2 linked regions of the Notamacropus eugenii genome follow. The protein of the gene in region 2 binds, or shares a complex with, the protein of the main gene of each other region. Links are inferred from orthologs where the notes say so. Each region holds a gene or a part of one and is shown on either strand. Other genes may lie near its edges. The genes, in order: TRIAP1 and PRELID1.

Region 1 (6,178 bases), on a different chromosome or scaffold from region 2:
AAAAACCCCATGTTAGCTAGATTGATTACATTAATAGATTTCATCAGATACTGGCTTTGTGAATCTGAACAAGTCACTTAAAATAGCACCTATCTCATTGTGTTAGGAGATGAAACTTCAGGTGCCTTGCATATCTTAAATGGGTATAGAAATGCTATTATAAATCGTCTCCCTGAAACGTCATTAACTATGAAGTAGCTCTATCCAATTCGGTTCACTAAGAATGATATTTAAAGCATTTTATTGAAACATGACTGATTTTTAGGAACCCAAAAATGTTATGATCCTATTTTAAATCTTTAGTCTCACTAAACATACAAATAAGCTTAATTACAATGTGGTCTGTAAATGACCATGTATCAAAAGTACTCAATCCCTAAGATGATACCTAAGGTTTGCTGGTAAGAATCCTAACAAATTCAAATGATGTTCAGTTGGTGGGCTGTGTCAAGGTAGTCTGTGCTCACCCACTCATCAGGTGGTGTACTCTGTCTTGAGTAGCCAAAATATGAATTTGTTCTCTCCAAAGAGACACTCTTCATTCCTACTGATTAGTCATGGAAACAACGGGGTCTGGGTTCTAATCCCACCAGGCTCAGAATTTTTGCTTTTTCATCTAATGTAAGATTAGACATATATACTCGACAGTCTAAGGATAACTACCCATGTTACAGGCATGCTGGAGATGAAGTGCTACGAGGTCGATGAGAAAGTAAACTATAAACCAAAGAGCAGTTATTTATTCCATCTCTGATTTCAAATGTTACAGAACATGATAGACAAATAAGGCAAATAAAGCAAACTATTTTCTTCATCCCAATTAACCATGTGCAACTGTCAAGGTATTCAAGAGGCCTTGTAAACAACCCTCTTCCACCAACCCATGCAGGATAGTCTATAGCTCAAGCCCAGTGGTGTCATTTCTATCAGCATTTTTTTATAGTCACTATCACCATTCATGAAACAGCCTAAAAATCAAGAAAATCTGATTTCTGCATATTTTAGTACCTTCATAGCTAAATTCACAAGATTCAGAGGAAACCAGGAATCACCTTAATTTGTGCGCTTAGTACCAAACTTTGGGAGCTCAAAATGTTTCTTTAGAAGCCTTCAAGAACTTCCTGTTTTGTTTTGATTCCATCTAAATCCTCTTCTTAAAAGCAGGCAGTAGTCTCCTAAAGGCAGATCCCTTTTTGGCTAGCTCCACACCTTTAACCATTATTCCGTCGTTACCCAAACAAAACGTTGCTAATTAAATGCAGGAGTCACTCCCAGAGCATCAGAGGTGTGGTTCCAGAAAAAAAATTAATACTTTGCAGCAAGGATTCCTCATTCAGGACAACGTAGCCATTCTGACTCAGGAGTACATGTACTGGTATTTCTGTGCAGACCACATAAGTGCAGCAGACCAAGGTACATTCTGTTCATCTAAAGACTTGTTCTCTTATGCCATGTTTGGTACTGCAAGATGCCACACCAGCGAGGTGCCATCCGTCACCTGAAAGCAAATAATAAAGGTCTATCCGAGCCTTTCAGTAAATAAACCTAAGGGACTCTTCCTCTAAAAAGCTCCTAAAAACCAGTCGTCTCCAGAGACCAGTCTTCCTGACGTCTGAATGTTTGCAGCTGAAAAGGTCATCGCGAAGGCGGCCGTCAAGGTCAAGGAGAGCTTTCCGACTTCTCTTTGCTGTGGCCCATGAACTCCAGCCCTTCTATAGGAATCTCCTTCTCCTTGATCGCTTTCTGTGGATTGAGAAATGACATATACAAAGGAAAGACTCAGAGAAAGGAGCGTCTCAAGAATCTAAAGCGCTCCTGACCGGACGAGGAATCAGACCAACGTCGCCAAGCGCTGGGCTGGCTTCCCGACCTGTGACCCTCCTCGGGGAGCTCCGAGCTGGGCACTCAGGCCTCAGAGGCACACAGCAGGGGATCCCAGGGCTGGGCCGCCGACCCCTCCCCACCACCGCGCCGGCACGTGACCAGTCCGGCCGGCGGCGCTCGGGAGCCCAGTGGCCACGGCCACGCAGGGCCCACGCCCAACCCGCGGCTCTCGGGGCTCACCTGCACGCACTGCTGGTAGCGCTTGAAGAGGTCGGTGCAGGGGTCCCCGGAGCCGTCGCCCTTGAGGAACTTCTCGGCGAACCAGCGGTTGAAGCACTGGTCGTACTCTCGCTTCATGTCGGTGCAGGCCTCTCCCACGCTGTTCATGGCGACCAGCCCCGCAGTGGAAGGGCGACGGCGCGCTGCCGACGTCACTCGCGGAGCGCCGCTTACGTCACGCCGGAGCGCCCGTTTCCGGCTCGCAGTGAGGCGGCCGCGACCCCGGAGATGTGGCGTCGGATGCTCCAGCGGACGCTGCGGACAGGGCTGAGCCCCGGCGTGAGGGGCGCCATAGCCGGGGGGCCGGGAGCACGAGTCGGGAGCTGCCGGTCTGCGGGGGACGACTCGGGGAAGCCCCCACCCCCCGGCCCCCGCCCGGGCGACCGAGTGAGCGCCGAGCTGATCGAGCACCTGGAGCGCCTGGCCCTGGTGGATTTCCGAAACCGCGAGGGCGTAGAGCGGCTGCGGGCGGCCATCGAGTTTGCGGAGAAGCTCCGCGCCGTGGACACGGACGGCGTGGCGCCCATGGAGTCGGTGCTGGAGGACCGGTAGGCAAGGCCGTGCACGTCCGTGTGCACGCGGGGGCTCCTCGGGCAGGGATCCCCGATCGCCCAGCGCAGGAGCGCCACACGTGCCGGCGTTTTAACGGCCCCCTCGATGACATGACGTCATCTGCAGTTACCCTCCCAGGAGCGGGGTGGGCGTGCCTCCGGTGTCAGCAGGAGGTCACGAGTAGTGGAAATCCACCCCACCCAAAAGTGCGAAAACGCGGCTCCAAGTGATTGGGTTAGTGTGGAGACCGGCCCCAGGGCTGGTGGAGGTCCCCCGCCCCGTACCCCCGCGGCAGAAGCTCGGGGTCCGGGCCCCTTGCCTATGGGGCGGGCTTCTGGACTGTTGTAGGTGCCTGTACCTGAGAGCCGACGACGTGGTAGAAGGCGGCTGTGTGGAAGACCTGCTGCAGAACTCGCAGCAGACTGTGGAGGAGTATTTTGTGGCACCCCCAGGTAGATGCTACATTGGGGTGCTGGGCAGTCATGTTGCAGCTCAGAGGCAAGGTTTGGGGGGGATGAATAGGTTTGAAATGATTCTGGGAGTATAAAGTGCTGTTTGAATCCCAGGGAGGTGTTAGCCACCCTTAGGCTGTAAACGCGTTGTAAACCTTTTCCATGTAAGACTTTCAGCCCATTTGAACCCCACAACTTAGCAGCCTGTTTTTTGAAGTCAGTTCTACATTTTGGACTTTGAGCTTCATAACAGCGTTGTATCCTCACCCTTCTCCGACGTATGCCCAGCTTAGATGCCAGTCCAGGAAGCTGGTAGAGGGCATAGCACTTCCATATTACCCCCATACTGAAAGGGATTCCGGTTGGGTCAGGGAATCTCAATTTGGTATAGATCGTAGAGTGTCTCTGGTTCTGTGAATTACTTAAACGTTACCAAGTAGTTGCTGGAAGCAGGGGGAGTACCCTTGAGCCATATAGATTTTTTTCTGGAGAATATGGATTCAAATTCCTCTTCTTGGGATGTGTCAAGTGACTATATGGATTCACTGATTGATAACCTCCTCCCTCACAAAAAACCCCAATCCAGAACTAAGCCAGGTAGTTTTCATTTCCTTCCCACTGCTCAGAGGTGCCTATCTAAAGTATTTCAGGAATTACTTTGGTGTGGATGTTTCTTCTGCCAATTGCAACCCCCACTGTCTGAGGATGTTAGGTAATTCCACAATGGGCACTCCTTTCCCTCTTAAATGTGTAGCAAATCTAGTAGTGATCCAGGTATTCCTAGCTGAGAAAGCAGAGTGGTGACAACATTGTTTTCATGAAACACCAACTAGTTTCAGAAGCAAGAAGAGTTAGGCTTAACTGTAATTCTTTCCTTTTTGGATTTTAAACAGGGAACATCACTCTGCCAAAACAAAGTGAACAAGATCCAGCACTGCTTTGAGGAATAGTGCTCACAGTAGGAAATGATGTAGATGGAGGACCTTGGGAAAGACTAAGTTGAAAAAAACTCCCTTGAACTTCCTCAACACAACCAGGTTCTGGCCCCTTTTCTCCTCTCCCCCTGCTGCTCTCCAGTGAAGATGGGGTGAGGATGGAGAACTGCTGAAGTGAGATCCTGCTCTCCCCGATAGAGGTCAAGGAAGACTAGGGACTTGGAGAAAAGCTTCCCAGGAAATGGATCAGGAATTCACTTAGTACCTGGGTCACATGTTGGAAGTGTCTTGTGGTAATTGCAAAATCACCTTTGGTTCAGAGTTTCTGCATGCTGTTATGTAGAGTGAGTTTCTAACCAAAATGCACTTTTGCCCAAGAATTTGTTTTTTCCTGATCAAAGGACTCCATGCAGTCTGGATTATTCATATTTCCTCCCTAAGTATTCCTAGTCTCTTCATAAAGTATCTTCTTTTATCAGTGATTTCCTCTACTGCCAAAGCCTCCATTCAGAGAGAAACAGACTGAAAAGCTCAGCACTGGATTTCGTCTAACAGCAGACCACCACCGACTGTTCCCGTTCAAGCCCCTACTGAGAAGTTCTGTTCAGATAACTTCTCTTATTCTTTTAATCCTCTATCTGCCTGGCACAGAAAAACTGAGTTTACGTAATTAAAATAACCACGACTTGGAAACTATTAAACTTTAGAAATATATTTCTAAACAGAATGGGCTGATTCCTATATATAGTGTCTGTGCAGAGTAACCCACCTTGACACAGCATTGCTTTTTCTCCATAATTGGGGGAGGAAGGGGAACTATGCAACTTGCTTCTAAACCAAAACAACTGCAGCAGTTCAAAATATTTCACTGCCAATATGGCCCTGGTAGAAACTGTATGTATGTAGTTGTATGTAGTTTTTCCTTTAAAAAAAAAGTTATTAAAAAAAAATCCTAAGATACTAAGTCAATTTGGAATGTAGATTCCGAGCAGAGAGCAACTCAGTTCACACTAAAAAAAAAAACAAACAAAAAACAGAACCAAAAAAACCTCATAAGCGGTTTCAATATGGTGCAAAGGAAGAGGTGTAGTATGGGGAGCCCCTGCTTTGGTATGGAGAATCACGGCCCCTTGACCCTGAGCGGGACCGGGAGTAGCCATAGCTGCTGCTTCTTTCTGGATAAACTCTGATATAGGAAGTTTCACCCTGAAATTCAAACAAAAGGAAGGAAAAAAAAGTGAGGGATGAAGATGGGTAGGGGAAGGAAGAACAGGGACTCATATCCAGCCTATTCTGGGCCGGTAAGTGGAAGAAGGTCCAAGTGTCCCAAGTGTTATCCTAAACTTAAGCAGAAGACTTCATGATTGCAAGATCATTGCAAGTTCACAACCGTGGCCACTTTGCTCTTGAAGTGTAAGGTGGTTTGGGCAATGGCACGGTCGAACCAGTTGCCAGGTGAGTGAGGCAAACCACTTTTAAGGAAGGAAAAAAAATTTGGTAACTGGGAATACAGGAATTTTAAACACCGTTTGTATGTTGAAGGCAATCAGGACAACGGGGAGGAAGGTCCAAGAGGTCTCTCCTTTAGGTCCCCAAGGTATCAGGAAGCCAACAGCTTAGTCATTCCTTACAGAAAGGAATTTCACTCACAAATTACCAGGCACATAAAGGGACAGTAGCCACATCAAGATAAGTTGTGTTTGTAAGAGGCCTGGGACACAATCCTTAAGTCACTTCCAAGAAAGCAACTACAATGAGATGACAGCTTCCTGAATTTGTGAAAGCTCAAGTTCAGCCACTGGAGGCATAATCCACAAAAGCTCTCTTAAACAGGTGGGAAAGAGGTGGCTCACTCATGCTGACCTACTTGCCGATTCTCTCCAGGTACTAAAGGACCATTGCTAGGGTCTGTAAGACTTGGGCACGAAAGATGTTGGCTTGTCCACTAAGGTTCCTTACTGTTACTCTGAGATTATTTAACAAGCTATCTACCAGCCTTCTGTGCAGTGAGGACAGCTGCAGGCCCAACTGCCATGGGATTATAGAAGTTCTTCCACAAAAGGTGGGAACCCACCTCATGAGAACGGAATTTGGAGTCGTCCAGTCTACGCAGGGCGTATTCCATATCTTCCTTTC
Region 2 (7,498 bases):
TAGACCCTTTTATTTCTTCAGGACTACAAAGGAAGGGTAAGTTGCAGTCACTAGCATGTTTCAAGGCTGATGGCTGTGAGACTTCATTATAAACCTGGCAGGATCACTTAATTACCCCCAAGGCTTAGAAACCTCCACAGGCCAAGGACAGCACTAAAAATTGATTTTTAATGATAAATTACAACTTGGACACAGGGCGGGTAATGGGACAAGAGCTGGATTGTCTGTGGCTTGCATTGTGTTGATGGTAGACGCTGAGGGGCTGGGGCTCCAGGCCCAATGCCAGGTCTTGCCAAGAGGCTCTCAGCCTTGGGTACTGGCGATCTGGGAGGGCAGCAGTAAGGTGACTCCTTTAAACATAGTGTTGTTGTTGCTGCTGCTGCTTCTTGGTGGCTGCTTTGCTGGCCAGGTCCTTGGCTTTCTCAGTAGCTGCCAGAGCAGTTTCCTTCGCCTTCTCAGTTGCTTCCTTAGCTGTTTCAACAAGTGTCTTAGAAGGAGCTTCACCTGCAAAAAGAGAATCTCAGAGTATCAGTTAGAAGGTACAATGAAAACTGAAACCAGCTGATTGGTATGACATATAAAGAAATAGCATTTCGGAGAGAATAAGAACCTTGTTCAAGATCAAAGGGTAACATGGATAACATCAAGAATTTGAACCTAGGAGTTGTGACTCCAAGTCCAGTGCTTCTTCCACCACACCACACTAAACTACATTTGGTCTTTGACCTGATTCAAGCTCTTCTGCAGCTATACCTTAGAGGGTGGCTGGTGTCACAAGTTTGAGGGGCAGGGCTTAAGTAGCAGCCTCATACCCAATGATAGCTTGGGTTCGAGAAGGAATCTCAATTGATCTTTTTCCAAATCTGTAATTTTACTGATAAGAACATTGAGGCCAAGAAAGGTTAAGTCACCTAACCAAGGTCATATGGGTATCAAATGCTAAACTCAAGATTCAAACCATGTAACTCCTAATTCAGCACTGTTTCAAACTTTTTTTCTTGGGATCCTCATACTTAGTGCCAGCACCTACACCCTGTGTTCCTCCCCAGACTTAAAGCCCTTGGTTCTTACCTTGCAGTTTGGCCAAGATGTACTCAAAGCCTTTGATGGTCTTGGTCACGTTACTTTTGAATCTAGCTAAGCCAAACTCCTGAAAGGACAAGATGGGATCGGGTATGAAGAGCTGTCTCTTAGCACTTCTAGTCACTGCTCATGCCCAGGACAATCCATGGTGCTCAGAGCCAAGGAAGAACCAAACATCCTACCCCCACTGATGGCACCTTTGGCATTTCACCAAAGTGCTATGTTACCTGTACAGCTCTGGAGACCCCAAACAAACTGGAGGAGACCCAGGCCTCCCGTCGGATTTCAGTCCATCCACTGTTTTCAGGGTTCACACAGTAAACACATCTTTCCTCCACCACCTGGAATGAAATGATCACAAGTTTTCAGTAATCTAGACCCTAAGAAGAACAAGATTCTACAAGGCCTAGAGCCAAAAATCAAGATTTATATGATGCTTACTATGTGCTAGGTGCTTTACAATTATTATCCCCTTTTATCCTCACAACAACCCTGAGAGGTAAGTGATACTATTACCCTCATTTTACAGATGAAGGAACTGAGGCAAACAGAGGTTAAGAAACTTGCCTATATTCAGAAAGACCTTCACAAGTCATCAAATCTACATCTCAGTTTAAAGATGAGAAAACTATGACCTGGAGAGATAAAAGGGATTTACCAAGTGCCACTCAGCAAAGTAGTGGCAGGTCAAGAATCACAAACTGCTTTTCACTTTTCTTTCTGAACCAGCCTGCTTCCTCTCTTTTCTGGGACTCCTCCTTTAAATGAGTGGGTGCTAAAGAGTCACTAACCATCAGCCGGGCATGGTTGATGTTCCAGGTGAAAGTGGTCATGGTCTGGTTCTGTGGGTCCACGATGGAGTCCTCCAGGATGTACACCGAGTGGGCTACATTAGCAGGAAAGAAGCGCTCCGCCCAGCGGGGCATCCTGTTGGTCTTGGTTAGAAGCCGCCTGGACAGCAGCTTCTGGTCAGGAGTCACCTCCCGGTGCACAATGTCCTCCGTCAGCACATGCTTGCTGCGTGGGAAACACACAACACAGGAGATGAGCTTGGAAAGCTACACGATGAATTTATTGGGTACCTAAAAAGAAAAGCACCACTTTCCATAAGAGATTCAGTTTTATGTTCAACTCCTTCCCTAAGTGAAATGAAAATATGGATCTTATTAGATATTTATTTAGTTCAGAATATTAAAAAAAGAAAAAGGAAGTAAATTCAAAGTTCCTCAAGACATCCTGTTTGGGCATCCAATCCCCTCCTCTGCTTTTACAACATGGGTGAAAATACTGATCTCATTTGATATTTAAATACAGAATATTTTGAGAAATAAAAAAAAGGGAAGTCAAATCAATGTTCCTCAAGTCATCCTGTTTGGGCGAAGGAAGGGGCAGAAAAAGAGGAAACTGCAGCTCAGGCTTCAGGCTGAAGGTGTTCCCGGACAGGAGTCCTGCCCCACTTCCAATCTCGGGCAGGTTAGGTGGGGCTCAGGTCCAGGGCGAAGTCCAAACCTGACGCCCCTTTGGCCAAGCCTGGCAGGTGCCACCTGGAAGAAGGCGCCCCGCACCGCAGAGGTAAGCGGCCCCCTCCCCCCCTCCCCCCCTCCCCCGGCTCGGGCTCCCGGGCTGGATTCCAACGAGCTCGGGGTGGGGGCTTCTCTTTCCCAGGGGGGAGGGGGAGGGGGCAAAAATGCCTAGGGTCACCACCCACAGCGCTTCGAGGACTGGAGGCTCTAGCCGTCCCCGGAGGTGCCTGGAGGGGAGGGGGCTTCTGGGTGTTCCTCTCTTCTATGAGAGCTGTGAAGGGGGCGGAGTGTGAGCCGGGAGTCTTCCGCCCTCCTCTGTCTCCAGCCCTCGCCCGTGGGGGGTCGGGGGGCCGGGTTCTCCTGTCCTCACCTGTAAGGGTTGGGGTAACGCTGCCAGAAGGCAGCAAACACTTGGTCCCAGGAGCTCCGGAGCACGCTCTGCCCCAGGAAATACTTCACCATCGTCCCGGCGGGGGTCGGGGTCGGGGTCGGGGCAGTGTCAGGGGGCGCACAGCATCGAGGGGTAGAGGAGAGATGGGTTGCCGGGCTCGAGCTCTCCGTCACCGTCCCAAAGCCGCCGCCGCCGCCACCTCTGCAGCCACCGCCGCCGCCGTCGCCGCCGCCGCCATGAGGGGGTGTCCGGCCGCTCGGCACTTCCGGCCCCAGCCCGACCCTCTCAAGCCCCGCCCCTTCCGCAGGAGCATTTCCGGTGTTCCTGTCACGTGAGGCGTGTGGCTCCTCCCCGTTCCCCCCGCCGGCTCCCCCCCCCCCCATTTGGCTTCCTTCGGGCTGCTCTAGCTCGGGGGTCTCCGAGCACCGGGACCGGACGGGCAGCGGGACCGGACTGGCCCCGGAGTGGCCGCGGCCGCGGCAGGAGGAGCGGGAGCATGCGGCCCCGGTAAGAGGACGCAGGCTCGCAGGCTCGCGTGAGGTGGAGCAGCCTGGACCGGCATTCCGACCCGGGCTCTTCAAGCGTAGGCAGGCGTGTGTATGTGTGTGGCGGGCGGGGTGAGGGGTCTTGATCGGGGATCCCCGGGCCCACGGGCTCCAAGCGCAGGCCCCCGGCCGTGTCCCGCGGGCTGACGGGGCCGGCGCCGGAGCAGAAGAGCCGAGGCCGGGCCCGGCTCCGACGCGCTCAGGCGGGCCCGTGTCCGGCGCAGGTAAAGCTTGTGGTCTGCTCGCCCGGCCCGCCGCGCCCCTGCCCGGCCTGGGCCCCGGGAGCATGAGCGGGCAGCGCGTGGACGTGAAGGTCGTGATGCTGGGCAAGGAGTATGTGGGCAAGACGAGCCTCGTGGAGAGATACGTGCACGATCGCTTTTTGGTGGGGCCCTACCAGAATGTGAGTGCGGGCGCGCCCCGGCGCGGGGTCCGGGACCGGGTGCGGAGGGGAGCACGCCGGGCGCACGGAGGTGCTAAGGCTTGGTTGTGAATGTGGGGGGCAGCCAGTCAACCTGATTTTTGAGCCCCAACTTTGCCCCTGATCCCCTGTGGGAATTTGCTATTCATGTCCCCTTTCTGGACCTCAGTTTCCTTTCTTGTAAAAAAGGTAAAATATTTCCTGCTATCTGTCCTAGTGTTATTAGGGAGGGGGGGGTGTCAGAAAAAAGGGAAGTGAAAAAGTCTTGTGTCTACTGCAGTGGGTGGCATAAGCATTGTTAATAATAATAATAGTAACAAGCATTGTTGTGAAAGGGGGAATGACTGTCTCCTTCCTCCCCCCTCCCCACAGACCATTGGGGCAGCATTTGTGGCCAAGGTGATGTCTGTGGGAGACAGAACAGTGACACTAGGCATTTGGGTGAGTGACAGGGACACACCAACACTTACTTGCCCTATTGGATGAAGGGCTTTCCAGGGGATATTTATTTCCTGAGATATTTCCAAGAGAGGCTTCCCCACCCAAAAGACTCTGAACTGTATAGGACCACCTGGGCAAGAGGGTGTTGGGCCATCTTGGAGAGCCGTCAGCTTCTCAGTGCTGTACTGTAGCTTAGAATTCTCAGTTCTGTCCCTGATAAGCCTGGTAAACCTCAGCAAATGACCTCCTATACTTCTGTTTCTCCATCTGAGAAATACCAAGACTAGAGAACATCTGTAATAATTCAGGCTTTTCTGATTGACCTAATCCCTGGGAATTGTGGGTAGAAGGGTCCTTGTCCAGGTTATTCCCAAGTTAGGGACCAGGGATGAGCTTTCACCTGATTCTCTGTAGGACACAGCTGGCTCCGAGCGCTATGAGGCCATGAGTCGAATCTATTATCGTGGTGCCAAGGCAGCCATTGTCTGCTATGGTAAGGTTATCTTCACCCCCAGCCCAGGCTCTTCAGCCTTTCATGAGCAGTGGTTTACATGGAGGTGGTTAACAGCCTTTCTGCACTCCTTTATTCCCAGATCTTACTGACAGCAGTAGTTTTGAACGAGCCAAATTCTGGGTAAAGGAGCTTCAGAGTTTAGAAGAGGTAAGTGTACTTGGGAGCTAAGTAGTGCTTCTGATCCTTGAGGACTTTGTAAAGCCATGAACAGGGAGAGCTCAGGACCTTGCTTGTCTTGAGAGGCTTTGTAGTATTGGGAAAAAAATAGTAGCTGATATTAGAATGTTTTAACGTACTTTATCCCATTTAAGCCTCACAACAGATCTAATAATAGGTATTATTCCCATTCTACACAAGAGAAAACTGAGAATTAGGTTAGTTTGCATGTGGTGATACAACTACTAAATGTCCAGGACAGAATTTCAAAATAGGTCTTCCTGACACTTGTCCAGAAATCTAACCACTATACCACTAGATCTCTTAAAAGGGACTTAATTTCAAGTGCTGATTCTTACACTAATTATTACCTGTGTGACCAAGAGCAAGTCATTTGGTCTCTGTGAGGCTTAGTTTCCTTATCTACAGGATGAGAGTAGTAATACCTGCAGCCTAGATGTTTGTGAGGAAAGCACTTTGTAGTTGTAAACTGCAGCAGTAATGGTATCTGATGGTTATCATTGTCATTCTCCTGGGCTGGGCAGTGGAAGGACCCTGATATCGATTGACCCCTGATTTCTGCCCACTGCAGAGCTGTCAGATCTACTTGTGTGGCACCAAGAGTGACCTTCTGGAGGAAGATCGAAGACTGCGCCGGGTTGACTTCCATGATGTCCAAGATTATGCAGATGGTACCTACTGTTCTTTGAGGGCTGGGAGGGAGGGAGCCACAGAAGACTGGTCAAAAAAAGTGGCACGATTTTTGTTTTATACTTTCTTTCATGCCTATGGGGATAGTTGTGGTTCTCTGTCCCTGGGAAGATGCCCATATGAGGTTGGAAGGGCTGGAAGCAAACTCATGCCAAGGGGTGGAGGTAAATCACATGAAATTCCCATTTCCTTGGCTTTTCTGCCATCTTTTATCCAGCCCTACTCTTTTTATCCTCTTGCTGGGTGCTCATCCCAGGAAGGGCAGGACATGGGTAAGTCAGCCTTACTTGCTCACTCTGAGCTGTGTGTTTACAGACATAAAAGCTCAGCTCTTTGAGACATCTAGCAAGACAGGCCAGAGTGTAGGTAAGTACTGTCTGGGGCCCAGGTAATCTCTAGACCTGGTTTTAGTCAGTCTGGGAAAGCCAGACTTAGGAAAGAGAGTTGGAGAGGGGATAGCATGGCAGGCAGTGATCCCAGAACTGGATGAAAGGAAATGTATTTTTAGGAAATGCAAAGGTTGTCCTAGGATACTGGGTATCTGAACAGTGGCAAAATCTGGCCTTACAAGACAGTATCATTAGCTTGTGAGAATGGGAGTAGTCAAACAATCATTGGCTTTTCCTTGCCTTATTACCTCACCCTCCTTCACTACCTAGATGAACTGTTCCAGAAGGTGGCAGAAGATTACGTCAGTGTGGCTGCCTTCCAGTTGATGACAGGTGAGGTCTGCTTCCAAACTGTGGCCCTCCCTTTTTGCCTACTTCTTTGATTATGGTGATTTAGTGTTGAAAGGAGCCTTGAACATTCTGATCCAATTCCCTCATTTTAGAGGCAGCAGGGACCTGAAATAACATGTCTCATGTAGGTAAAAAGTGGCTAACTAGGATTCAGACCCAGGCACTTTAGAGTGAAGGTCTGAATGGTGATCCTTTCTTGATGATGAGTGGTTAATATTTGCTTCCATCTCTCTGCAGAGGACAAAGGCGTTGACTTGAGTCAGAAGGGCAACACCTTCTTCTACAGTTGCTGCCATCATTGAGAGCCACCGTATCACCTGGAAGGGACCCTGCTGGACCCTTGCCTGCTCTCTGCTGGTTGAGGGGCTGTCTGAGCTACCCACAGCCCGAGGCAGAAAGGGATGGGCCTGTGCTGGCCCAGGATCACAGGCAGCAGCAGACCGAAAGGCGAGAGGAGGCCAGTTCTGACTCTGGGCTCTCTCCTATTTGCTGGGCAGCACTTGTATTTCTGCACATAATTTAAGTGGCTTCTGCCTTGTAAATAAAGTCCCTCCCCATCCCCCCACTGATAGTTGACCCACTTCCTTACTATTTCATGGGAAGGGAGGAATGTATTCATGTGGGAAGGAAAAGTTACTTAAGATTGTTCCTCTCCTTACCTGAGCCTGGAAGACAGATTGAGTATCTAGGTGTCCTCTGATGTGACTGGCTTCATGAAACTGTACTGAAAAGTTCCTTTCTCTAGTTTTCTCCTAGGTGAAACATTAGTGACTTACAGGGTTTCTATGGTGTGGCAGCTGCTGACTGAAAGGGACCCTCTAGAGTTGGCCTGGTTGGGTTTTGGGGGATGTAGTTGGCCATAGAATTAAAGATGCCAGTACTTCAGGTTTGATCAGGCTGGTGGTAACTGGAATGCTGCCACCAAATACTTGACCCTGCAGTACTTTCATTTGATCTTTAGTTAAACTGTCTA

Evidence for each region.
Region 1: the proteins of PRELID1 (region 2) and TRIAP1 are in contact, whole or in part, in a crystal structure (PDB 6I3V), measured with the Homo sapiens proteins. The link is inferred for Notamacropus eugenii from reciprocal best matches to the Homo sapiens genes PRELID1 and TRIAP1. Residues at the interface, in NP_037369.1 of Homo sapiens: Trp15, Asp16, Phe19, Ala20, Trp23, Gln24, Tyr26, Pro27, Val34, Leu35, Thr36, Glu37, Asp38, Ile39, Val40, His41, Arg42, Val44, Gln48, Lys49, Leu50, Leu51, Ser52, Arg53, Leu55, Thr57, Tyr79, Leu81, Asp83, Ser84; in NP_057483.1 of Homo sapiens: Met1, Asn2, Ser3, Val4, Lys12, Tyr15, Asp16, Phe19, Asn20, Trp22, Phe23, Phe27, Leu28, Gly30, Asp31, Ser32, Phe41, Tyr44, Gln45, Val48, Gln49, Ile52, Ile57, Pro58, Ile59, Leu62, Glu63, Phe64, Met65, Gly66.

The regions. Positions count from the first base shown.
Region 1 is NC_092875.1:24,824,814-24,830,991, reverse strand, and holds TRIAP1 (TP53-regulated inhibitor of apoptosis 1), read right to left. Parts: upstream 2,212-6,178; coding exon 2,065-2,211; intron 1,744-2,064; coding exon 1,660-1,743; 3' UTR 719-1,659; downstream 1-718. Other genes in the region: GATC (glutamyl-tRNA(Gln) amidotransferase subunit C, mitochondrial), read left to right, coding at 2,332-2,651, 3,004-3,107, 4,001-4,050; SRSF9 (serine/arginine-rich splicing factor 9), read right to left, coding at 5,105-5,248, 6,117-6,178. UniProt on the Homo sapiens protein: Involved in the modulation of the mitochondrial apoptotic pathway by ensuring the accumulation of cardiolipin (CL) in mitochondrial membranes.
Region 2 is NC_092872.1:414,152,541-414,160,038, reverse strand, and holds PRELID1 (PRELI domain-containing protein 1, mitochondrial), read right to left. Parts: upstream 2,770-7,498; intron 2,166-2,769; 5' UTR 2,010-2,165; coding exon 1,875-2,009; intron 1,425-1,874; coding exon 1,311-1,424; intron 1,151-1,310; coding exon 1,072-1,150; intron 505-1,071; coding exon 353-504; 3' UTR 147-352; downstream 1-146. UniProt on the Homo sapiens protein: Involved in the modulation of the mitochondrial apoptotic pathway by ensuring the accumulation of cardiolipin (CL) in mitochondrial membranes.